Caenorhabditis elegans: one gene and its partner. The protein of the gene in region 1 purifies or fractionates together with the protein of each later gene. This does not show direct contact. Each region holds a gene or a part of one and is shown in the gene's direction. Other genes may lie near its edges.

The links. Proteins that work in one complex are often made in the same cells at the same time.
Region 2: the proteins of rsa-1 (region 1) and spd-5 purify together in Caenorhabditis elegans (affinity purification with mass spectrometry; 2 studies listed by BioGRID, with this or other methods). This does not show direct contact.

The regions. Positions count from the first base shown.
Region 1 is NC_003279.8:10,184,167-10,188,064, forward strand, and holds rsa-1 (Serine/threonine-protein phosphatase 2A regulatory subunit rsa-1), read left to right. Parts: upstream 1-1,689; 5' UTR 1,690-1,711; coding exon 1,712-1,811; intron 1,812-1,860; coding exon 1,861-2,030; intron 2,031-2,077; coding exon 2,078-2,189; intron 2,190-2,236; coding exon 2,237-2,325; intron 2,326-2,376; coding exon 2,377-2,603; intron 2,604-2,650; coding exon 2,651-2,752; intron 2,753-2,795; coding exon 2,796-2,913; intron 2,914-2,967; coding exon 2,968-3,051; intron 3,052-3,093; coding exon 3,094-3,306; 3' UTR 3,307-3,384; downstream 3,385-3,898. Other genes in the region: clec-87 (C-type lectin domain-containing protein 87), read right to left, coding at 480-663, 713-1,079, 1,130-1,280; Nucleolar protein dao-5, read right to left, coding at 3,606-3,764, 3,813-3,898. UniProt on the Caenorhabditis elegans protein: Regulatory subunit of phosphatase let-92 which recruits let-92/paa-1 complex to the centrosomes, thereby regulating microtubule outgrowth from centrosomes and mitotic spindle assembly ensuring the stability of kinetochore microtubules.
Region 2 is NC_003279.8:5,170,766-5,178,414, reverse strand, and holds spd-5 (Spindle-defective protein 5), read left to right. Parts: upstream 1-1,760; 5' UTR 1,761-1,817; intron 1,818-2,878; 5' UTR 2,879-2,893; coding exon 2,894-2,945; intron 2,946-2,996; coding exon 2,997-3,184; intron 3,185-3,231; coding exon 3,232-4,329; intron 4,330-4,376; coding exon 4,377-4,458; intron 4,459-4,503; coding exon 4,504-4,901; intron 4,902-4,949; coding exon 4,950-5,163; intron 5,164-5,206; coding exon 5,207-6,092; intron 6,093-6,141; coding exon 6,142-6,392; intron 6,393-6,442; coding exon 6,443-6,774; intron 6,775-6,825; coding exon 6,826-6,921; 3' UTR 6,922-7,113; downstream 7,114-7,649. Other genes in the region: npp-6 (NUP160 middle TPR domain-containing protein), read right to left, coding at 1-212, 271-914, 965-1,090, 1,139-1,443, 1,498-1,579; Condensin-2 complex subunit hcp-6, read right to left, coding at 7,114-7,266, 7,311-7,649. UniProt on the Caenorhabditis elegans protein: Plays a central role in centrosome maturation and mitotic spindle assembly during the first division of the zygote. Required for the centrosomal localization of air-1 and zyg-9. Probably not required in late embryogenesis and during larval development.

The DNA.
Region 1 (3,898 bases):
TTACGCGTCGCGTGTTGTTTAGCGTTCAAACGAATATTTTTTGAAATTTTCTTCTAGAATTTACGCTTAGCAACACGCGACGCGTAGAGAAAACCGCAGTTGGCACGGTGCCAGATCCTGAAAACGTAGATCTTGTTTTGGCGGATCTTGTTTTCGTAGATCTTGTTTTTGAACAGATCTTGAAAACGTGGTGCCTCTTAATTTATGTTTGCACATCAATTTCCCGAAACACCAACTTCTAGCAAGAAAAACTTGACGTCATGCTCGACTTGCTTCAAGCAAAAGAGGTCCTCAGATAGAAAACAGGATTTGATGTTGAAAATTTATTTTCCGATATAAATACATAACGTCTCAAAATTTATAAAGTGAGTGCAATGATTGTCAAACGTAAGGGGGATGGAACCCGGTGACAAATAATAAACGATTAGTTGTGGATGATTGTTTACATGATTAGATTGGTGTCAGAAGTACAGAAGGCTTCACTGCAACGCGTTGACGATGGTCGAATTGCGTTCACAAATGGAGTACAGCATATACGTGCACGGGTAGAAGTACGTGTATGATGCCGATTCCAGGGATGATGGTGATTTGTAGCTGGCAGCACAATTGGCGAGTGATGACCAACCGTTGAAGAGTGGCTTGTATGGTTTGATGAGCCAGTTGCTGAAAAAATTAAATTTAGAAGCAATCAATTGTTGTTGACAAAACCTACATTTTGGTTGGATTGAGAGCTCCTTCAGTCTGCCATCTTGGCAACTGCTCCAACTTCTCGTAATGGGTGAATCTGACAAGTCCGATCCACGAAAAGAAGGCTTCCTTGGCTTGAACACGAATTGCGTCCCACTCTTCAATCGAATTGGCCACGAACAGTGTTGACTGCTTCTCGAAGCAATTTCTCTCGGCCTTGGCGAATCCAAGAAGCTCCTTCTCGATCCAGTAGCACGAATCGGCGAACCGAAGCCATCCATCGGGACACTTCTCAGTCTGATTGACGAAGGCTGGCGGCTGTCGAGCTGGGAACGAGATGTCTTCGAATGCCGTTGTGCCGAGATCCTTGTAGTCCCAGTTGTAGAACGTCACTGAAATTTGTTACTTTTAACGAAAATTTAAAGATTTCAAAGAAACTTACGTCGTTGATGCGGCTGTTCGTCGTTTTGAACCAATGGTGATGTTTCTGGAGCTTCACCACTAGCTTCAGGAAGCTCGGTTGAAGAAGTCGGAGCTGCATGAACGAGGAATAGCCCAGGAAGGATGAAAGCAACGAGAAGGCAAAAACGCATGATGAGCAGTGAAGACTGAGGAAATGAACGTTTCGTTCTCCTTTTATGCACATTTTTGCCGCCGTTTCCTGAAATTTTCACAAATGCGCGCCGCTAATAGACAGAGATCAAATAATAATTTCAAAACAAATCAAGTCTAGAAATATCCTAAACTTCATTTCTGAACTGGTGTTATGAATTTGAAGCACGGATGATGGTTTAAATGTTCTGTAGCACACTGCAGATTTTCATTTATGAAAATATTTAACTTTTAAAAGGGCAAGATCTTGTTTTAAAAAATTGTAATTAATTTTGAAAATTATATTTTGAATAGCCGCCCTTGATATTAACAAAATATGCAGTGGAGCGCACTTAATGCGCCCATTTTCAACAGAAAATAACGCTCGAGATTCGAATTCAATTCTCTCCTCCCTTGCAATTTTCGTGTCACTATGCCAACCGACGAACCTTCGAAGCGAAAATCCATTTTACCAACGATTCCAACATCCCTGATGTTGAAGAAAAGTAACGAAGCATTGAGTGACTTCGAACGTGAGTTGGGTTCAGCGAAAATGTATTATTCAGCGGTATTATCTTTCAGGAACATTTAATGATCGAGTTATGGATATATTTGCCGAAAATCGAAGAATAGATGTAGAGGAGTTTAAAAAAAATGCCGAATGCTTTTTAAACATCATTCGATCGAACAAAATCGATTTAAATTGGGGTGAAGGGGGAGAAAGTAGATATGTGACGATAACTCGATTAATGGTAAGGTTCTCGGTGAATTCAATAATTAAGAATGTGCAATTATTCAGAAAATACTCAAAACTTCACCACAATCAATCAAAGATCTACTTCCACATAACACAGTGTCGAATTTCGTTAAAATAACCAATTATAATTTAACAATTGATATCACTCTTTTAGGTTTGTGCAAAGCAGGGAGTTCTTATTATAAAGAATTTGAATTTCAGAGGAGCTTGTACGAACAGTCATTCACGCTGAGGAGTCCTACATCAAACTTCTTCCATTTTCAGAAAATAGCACAGAGATTTCCAGTTATGTAAGTATCTTATTTCTACTCTAAAAGCTATTATCCTGACACTATTTTCAGAGTCTCCAAGACTTTGTGGCCACACATTTTATTCCAATTATGATTGAAGAACCGGAAAATCCTGTCTATTATACAGCTTACGCAGTTGGAACAATATTTTTCCTATTGGGTGCTCGACGGCGAGACTGTGTATATTTGAAGGATTTACTTGCTTCAACACTTCTACTACAACTCGAAGAGTGTATTCATGCAGAGAATCATTGCTTATCACCTCCGAAAATTGATGTGTATGATTTATCAGTGCCATAAATTGCTTCAAAAAGTCTTTTTTCAGATTCACCGTCGCTCAATTTCGAACCACTTTATCAGAATTCCGATTCCTTGACTCCCAACGAAAGGGATTGTTGGCGCCAGCGGACTTGAAATTTTTCAGAGAGTATGAAGAAATTATTTTTCAGTCTATAAATCCTATTTTTCAGCGGAATCTTCAATGAGGTTTTCACCAAGCGAATCTTCGAAATTTCAATAACCTATGAAGATGGACGTATTGATTTCAAAGCGTTCGTTGATTTTGTCACCGCTCTAAAGTTCCGTCATGTAAGCGATTTTTTAATCAGAACCAAAAAATTGTTCTAAAAAATAAATTTCCAGACCACTGCCTCCGCCAAATACCATTTCGAAATTCTGGATCTAAAGGATGATGGACTGTTGGATGAGGAAGAAATTCGATCAATAGTGAGTAAAACTCTCCAAGAACACTTTCTCATCGCTTAAAAGTCATCATTTCAGCTTCAAAACCTGCCAGATTACGTCCCGGAAGATAATAGTGTGAACCCGGAAGTAGCAACTGCCGAACTGAGAGATATGATGCGTCTGAATCAGAATGGAATTACATTGGAAGAGTTTCTTGCTAATCGGATGAACTCGACGTTTGCTGGATTCCTCTCCAATTCCGATGATTACATGAAGTACGAACGACGCGAGCAATAGCAGTCCCGCTAATTTTATTTTTAAAACTATTCTAACCACTCATTTCGGCCTGCAAGGGTAATAAACAGCTTTTGGACCAAACATTTTATGGATGAGACAAGAGGGAGAAAAACGGAAACATAACAAGTTATATTTGAAGTAACAAAAGTATACAAAACATTTGTTTTGGATCAACTCAGGATTATAAATTTAAAGGGGAAACAAAAAGGAAAGCAACAGACAACAGATAAAAAACGAAGTGTAGACGGGGGTGAGAAACAATTTTGGAAACAAATTAACTTAAGGATAAAGTTAAGAAACTAATCGTCAGAGTCAGAGAACTTGATAGAATTAATAGATTGGTTGATTGGACCACCTCCGTAGCTTCCCTTCTTCTTCTTAGTTTTCTCATGACGGAATGCTTTTCCAACAACTTTTCCTAGGCTTTCATTGGCACGCTGTCCCCATTGATCGAAGTGCTGAAAATAAATCGAGTTAAACTTTGTTCGTAGTCGCTATATGTTTACCGAATCATGCTGGTTGTTTCTAAATTTTTCAGAAACGCTATCCTTTGTCATTTGCACGCGTCGGAATGGTGAAGACTTTCTTTTTC
Region 2 (7,649 bases), 5.0 Mb from region 1:
CTTCATCCGTATTGCCGATCGGTTCTTCTTTGGTAGTGGCAGGCGAAGTGAACTGACGAACGGAATGCCAATCGAAATCTGTGAAAACTCGTCCCTTTTTCCATTGGATAGCAAATGAGATCCGTTTCATCGAATAGGTTTTCTTTGCAGATGAACTTTTGAAAAGAGCAGAAAGTGAAAATAGTGCAGCTGTGAGAGGATTATACAATTCCCTGAAACAATTTTATATTTAGACAAGAAAAAAACCCATTTTATAACAACGATTCTTACCCATCTTGTGTCTCATCAAGACTTTCCGATTCCTTTGATGGGAAATAGTTTTGAATAAGCTCGAGATCAACAAGTCGTTCATCAACGGACATCGATGTTTCGAACATTTGTAGATGTTGAATTTGATCATTTGAAACTTTGAGAATATGAACTCTCATCCCGACGCTTTTTCCCGAAACTGCCAAATCACATCCAACAATCAGAAGAATATCCACATCGAATGAATAAGCTCTGATAGAATATACAGTTTCAGTTGGTTCCATTGGAGACTTTTCTTCCTCGAAGTCTGCAGATTCTAGATCTCGATTCAAAGATTTTCCGTCTGAAGCAAAGTAGTTATTCAAGTCAATAGTGCTTGGCAATTGTTTTTTCGTCTCAACATTCCATGCTTGCACCCATCCGTCTCTGGTAACAGCGAACACAATATCGGATTGGACTGAAATTTTTCGCTCTCTCGTGACTCCAGAAGTCGGGCGAAGATTCTTCATAACACATGCATCACTGACTCGTTTATCAGTGCCACCTAGAAGTTTTCCCAGAAGACCAACTTCTCCCATTGTGAATTCTTCGTGTTTATCACTGGATTCCGTGTATGATCCCAATGTGACAATGACCAACTGCCCTTCAGCGGTACAGTAAGAAATCTGAATTCAAAATTCGAAATATAGGTTGTAATCAATTTCCATTTTTATACCGTATTTCTTGAAGGATGATGTGTAACACTTGCACGAATCGGGCGCCCTGGTGTTGAAAGGGAGTGAGATGTTCTGAATCGGCGGAAATCGTCATCTTCTTTAATTCTTGCAAGAATTGAGAACGTCTGAAAATAATTATTCTCATTCGATTATGGAAATTTTTGAGAACAAACATCATGGCCTTTGGAGTGGAGTCTCGCGTAGAAACGATGAATTGCAGAAGCTGTGGGAACGACAATACATAAAACCCCTTCCTCGAAAATTGTTATCGATGTTCCAGGAATAATAGGTGTGCGTGTGAAGTCAATGCACAACGATCCATCCGTGATTGAGTAGAGCAAAGAACGCTCCTCAATGAACAGTTTCTGGCCAATCGCACGCCACAGGAAAATCCGATCGCCGTAATTTGAGCAGTGCGGAAATGTTGCAACTCCTGCGGACGGTTGCACATCAAATCCATTCGAATGAAGCGGCGCATCTAAAAAAGTGAAATTTGTTGTAGAAACAATTATTTAATGAAATTGAAACTTACTGGTGTTTACCACAAAAGTTCTAGCCGGCTTTATAGCAAATCCATCCGTGAAGCTGATTTCCGACCCGTAAACCAGCTCCATCTGAAATTAAGCATAAAACACGATGTTAAAGCAAAAGAGAAATATGGAGATGAAATAAACACGTTCAAAAATATTTAAATATCGTTAAAAACAATTTTTCATTGGCGTGAACTTGTTTTACTTGTTTTTTATACGTTTTTTTATACGTGAAAAAATGGAAGAAAACAATTCACTTTAAATTTTAATCACTTATCGAGAAGGTTCTCATTGGATTCAAAGAAAAACTTGTTAGAAATTTGTGAGTTTTTACAATAAGCTTCATATTTTGACACTTTGCGATGTAAAATTTTACAAAACAATGATGAATTGAGCCGAAAACGCCTCCATATGGAGCTCCATTCGAATTCAAAAATAAGGGGCGTGGCTGCATGAGCAATACCGCCGCATGGTATTTCGCAACATGCGCACACTTTTTCTCTGTCAAGAAAAACGAGGCCCCACGAAAAGGGGATCTGCAAAAAGGGGATCTGCGAAAAGGGGAGATACGAAAAGGGGAGATACGAAAAGGGGAGCAACGAAAAGGGGATCTGGCACTGTGCCAAACGCTATTTTTCTCGAAGAAAACGATACAACGATTGTCGCGAATACGCAGAATACTGAGTCATCAACAATGACAAAGCCGGGAAACTCCTGTTTGAAAGCCGCGCCAAAAGACACACACGTCACGCGTGTTACAGTACTACCACACATGCACATCAAACCCCAACACGTCGACACCACGCAAGGAAATCGTCACTTCTTCGTTTTACTCTTGGACCGGCAGGTCGCATGTTAAATATATGAGCTTTCTCATTTTTATCATTTAACGGATTTATCAGTAATAAATTATATAATTCTACCACTTTTGAACCTATACCGATCCGAAACATGGTGCATCGGCTCCGATGTTACGCGTCGCGTGTTGTTAAGCGTATCTTCTAGAAGAAAATTTCAAAAATCAACGTGCGTTGCGTGAGAAAAATTGCGTTTTGTGCGTTTGGCACAGTGCCAGCTCCCCTTTTCGTTGCTCCCCTTTTCGTATCTCCCCTTTTTGCAGATCCCCTTTTCGTTCTGCTCCCCTTTTCGTGGGGCCTCAGAAAAACGCGCGCCTAAACGTGAATTTTGAATTTTCTCCGCGTCCGCGAAATTCTTACGTTTCCATAGTAACAAAAGTTGGTCCGCACTTGTTTTTCATGATTATGCACGCCCAAAGAACGGTGCTGAAGCTTCAAATTTTGCAACCTCCTGTTCATTTTGACTCAAAACTCTTAATCCCAAAAAAACGCTCAATTTTGTTTTCGAACCCGTTTCTTGTTTCAGAAAACTTCGCGTTAAATGGAGGATAATTCTGTGCTCAACGAGGACTCCAATCTCGAGCATGTCGAGGGTAATTATAACATTTAAAATCAATAACTGCATAAATGCAAAGGTTTTTTAGGCCAGCCACGAAGATCTATGTCGCAACCAGTTCTGAATGTTGAAGGAGACAAAAGAACGTCTTCGACCAGTGCCACTCAACAGCAAGTATTGTCAGGAGCATTTTCGTCTGCTGATGTTCGTAGCATCCCCATCATCCAAACATGGGAAGAAAACAAAGCGCTTAAAACAAAAATAACTATCCTGAGAGTAAGTAATTTATCATATGCTTATTTAGAAATGATTTGAGTTTGTAGGGAGAACTGCAAATGTATCAGCGCCGGTATAGTGAGGCAAAGGAAGCGTCGCAGAAGAGAGTTAAGGAAGTTATGGACGATTATGTCGATCTCAAATTAGGCCAAGAAAATGTTCAAGAGAAAATGGAGCAATACAAACTGATGGAAGAGGATTTGCTAGCAATGCAATCGAGAATTGAAACTTCCGAAGACAATTTTGCCAGACAGATGAAAGAATTTGAGGCACAAAAGCATGCAATGGAGGAAAGAATCAAGGAACTGGAATTGTCCGCTACTGATGCAAACAACACAACTGTCGGATCTTTTCGTGGAACTCTTGATGACATTCTGAAGAAAAACGATCCAGATTTCACATTAACCTCTGGTTATGAAGAAAGAAAGATCAACGACCTGGAGGCAAAGCTCCTCTCTGAGATCGACAAGGTAGCTGAGCTGGAAGATCACATTCAGCAGCTCCGTCAAGAACTTGACGACCAATCTGCAAGGCTTGCCGATTCAGAAAATGTTCGCGCTCAGCTTGAAGCGGCCACTGGACAAGGAATCCTCGGAGCTGCTGGAAACGCTATGGTTCCAAATTCAACGTTCATGATCGGGAACGGTCGTGAATCACAGACGCGAGACCAGCTCAATTACATTGATGATCTTGAAACGAAGTTAGCTGATGCGAAGAAGGAAAATGATAAGGCTCGTCAGGCACTCGTTGAATACATGAACAAGTGTAGCAAGCTTGAGCACGAGATTCGAACCATGGTTAAAAATTCGACATTTGATTCTTCTTCCATGTTGCTTGGTGGTCAGACATCCGACGAGCTTAAAATCCAAATAGGAAAGGTGAACGGTGAATTGAATGTGTTGAGAGCTGAAAATCGAGAACTCCGCATTCGTTGTGATCAATTGACCGGAGGCGATGGAAATCTTAGCATTTCACTGGGACAAAGTCGACTGATGGCTGGTATTGCGACTAATGATGTCGATAGCATTGGACAAGGAAATGAGACTGGCGGAACATCGATGCGCATTCTTCCCAGAGAAAGTCAATTAGATGATCTTGAAGAAAGCAAATTGCCGCTCATGGATACATCATCTGCTGTTCGAAATGTAAGTGTATGAAAATTATTATTTAAAATAAAGTCTTGAATATTTAGCAGCAACAATTTGCCTCCATGTGGGAAGATTTCGAGTCAGTGAAAGACAGCCTGCAGAACAACCATAATGACACCCTTGAAGGTAGTAAAATTGATTCCTAGATTTTTTGAAATTGATTATTGTTAGGTTCCTTCAATTCGTCAATGCCACCACCTGGTAGAGATGCAACTCAATCGTTCCTCAGTCAGAAGTCTTTCAAGAATTCTCCGATTGTAATGCAGAAACCAAAATCACTTCATCTTCACCTGAAGAGCCATCAATCCGAGGGAGCTGGCGAACAAATACAGAATAATTCGTTTTCTACGAAGACTGCTTCTCCTCACGTGTCACAAAGTCACATTCCAATTCTGCACGATATGCAACAAATTCTGGATTCTTCTGCAATGTTCCTTGAAGGCCAGCATGATGTAGCTGTAAATGTTGAGCAAATGCAAGAGAAAATGTCCCAGATCAGAGAGGCTCTTGCTCGACTTTTCGAAAGACTTAAATCTTCTGCTGCTCTTTTTGAAGAGATTCTTGAAAGGGTATGAAAACTGTCAAGTTGTGAATCTGTAAATCTGAGTTTTTTGTAGATGGGATCCAGTGATCCAAATGCGGATAAGATCAAGAAAATGAAGCTCGCATTTGAAACAAGTATTAACGACAAGCTCAATGTATCTGCCATCTTGGAAGCAGCGGAGAAGGATCTTCATAATATGTCACTCAATTTCTCAATTCTCGAGAAGTCGATAGTTAGTCAGGCTGCGGAAGCTTCGAGAAGATTCACTATTGCACCCGATGCTGAAGGTAATATAAATTTTAGAGACGCTCATAAATCAATATTTTCCAGATGTCGCCTCATCTTCTCTTCTCAATGCCTCGTATAGTCCACTCTTCAAGTTTACAAGCAATTCAGACATAGTGGAAAAGCTTCAGAATGAGGTATCGGAGTTGAAAAATGAATTGGAGATGGCTCGTACACGAGATATGAGATCTCCATTGAACGGTTCGTCTGGAAGATTGTCGGATGTGCAGATCAACACCAATCGCATGTTTGAAGATCTCGAAGTATCTGAAGCAACGCTACAAAAGGCTAAAGAGGAAAATTCTACATTGAAAAGTCAATTTGCTGAACTCGAAGCCAATCTCCATCAAGTTAATTCTAAGCTTGGAGAAGTGCGATGCGAGCTCAATGAAGCGTTGGCTCGTGTGGATGGTGAACAGGAGACTCGTGTCAAAGCTGAAAATGCATTGGAAGAGGCTCGTCAGCTCATCAGTTCTCTAAAACATGAGGAAAATGAGCTCAAGAAAACCATTACTGATATGGGGATGCGATTGAATGAAGCAAAGAAGAGCGATGAATTCTTGAAAAGCGAGTTATCTACCGCGCTGGAGGAAGAAAAAAAATCCCAAAATCTAGCAGATGAGTTGAGTGAAGAATTGAATGGGTGGAGAATGAGAACAAAAGAGGCGGAAAATAAAGTTGAACATGCTTCATCCGAGAAATCTGAAATGCTTGAAAGAATTGTTCATTTGGAGACTGAGATGGAGAAGTTGTCGACTTCAGAAATTGCGGCCGACTATTGTTCTACGAAGATGACAGAAAGAAAGAAGGAAATTGAGTTGGCGAAGTATCGCGAAGATTTTGAGAATGCCGCTATTGTAGGATTGGAACGTATCAGTAAGGAGATATCTGAGCTAACCAAGAAGACTTTGAAAGCCAAGATTATCCCAAGGTATTATCAAACGTCGTGCTTGTTTTTTTTTATTTGAGAACATTTTCAGCAACATCTCATCGATTCAACTCGTTTGCGATGAACTCTGTCGTCGTCTTTCCAGGGAACGAGAGCAACAGCATGAATACGCGAAAGTTATGAGAGACGTCAATGAAAAAATTGAAAAGCTTCAATTAGAGAAAGATGCTCTCGAACATGAGCTGAAAATGATGAGCTCTAATAACGAGAATGTCCCACCAGTTGGAACATCGGTCAGTGGCATGCCTACTAAAACATCGAATCAAAAGTGTGCTCAACCTCGTAAGTCATACTTATGCACATCAGAAGTTGAATTTTCACCAATTCTCCAGATTACACGAGCCCTACTCGACAATTGCTCCACGAATCAACTATGGCTGTCGACGCAATTGTTCAGAAACTCAAGAAGACTCACAATATGTCAGGAATGGGTCCAGAGCTTAAGGAGACGATTGGCAACGTCATCAATGAATCCAGAGTTCTTCGCGATTTCCTCCATCAGAAGCTCATTCTATTCAAAGGAATCGATATGTCCAATTGGAAGAACGAGACCGTCGATCAACTGATCACAGATCTCGGACAATTGCATCAGGATAACTTGATGCTTGAGGAGCAAATCAAGAAGTACAAAAAGGAACTGAAACTGACAAAATCCGCCATCCCGGTATGAAATTCTTTTTCTATTGAAATCTATTTTGAAAAATATCATTTTCAGACACTTGGTGTCGAATTTCAAGACAGAATCAAAACGGAAATTGGCAAAATCGCAACTGATATGGGAGGAGCTGTGAAGGAAATTCGCAAAAAGTGAACTGATCTGTTAATGTATTAAAATGGAACCAGTTTTATCAACACTATCATCTCGACAAGATTAACTTGTAACGATTGTATTGTTTTCCCAGCCTAAAGATACACCTAATGCATCTATCAATGTACTTGTGAATTAAATGCTTCTTTTCTGGTAGTTGACTGCAATCCCATTACAGATAATAAAAGGAACAGATTAATTTAATGAAAAAACAGCGGACAATCTTACAATAATACAAACAGTTGAGATAAATAAGACAAATTTCGATGGAAGATTTATACAATGACATTGATCAGCTTTCCTCTTCATCCTCTTCGAAGATATTGTGAAGGTGATAAGCTTGACTTTCTGTAAAATTAAGGCGTTTTGTAAATTCAAGAAATTGTGAATACCTTACTTCTGTTTTTCAAGTCTTCCTTTTCGGTAATAGCCGACAAATTAAGGGAGAATGTGACATCGCTTGGATCTGCGTCTTCTCGTGATCGAATCGGAGTTGAACAATGACGTCCTGCACCAAGCTTACTTTCATCGAAAATCAACGGAGTCACTCCGCGTGACAGTGGATCATTTTCAGTGTTACCAGATGAACTTGTTGGCACATTTTCCTCTTCCTCGTCAACAGATTTCCGTTTTCGATTAGAATTCTCTTTCACGACTGGTGGCTCTGTTGACTGACCCCGACGACTACGACGCAAAGTGACGTTGGCCGAAATATTGACTTCCTTTTCCGG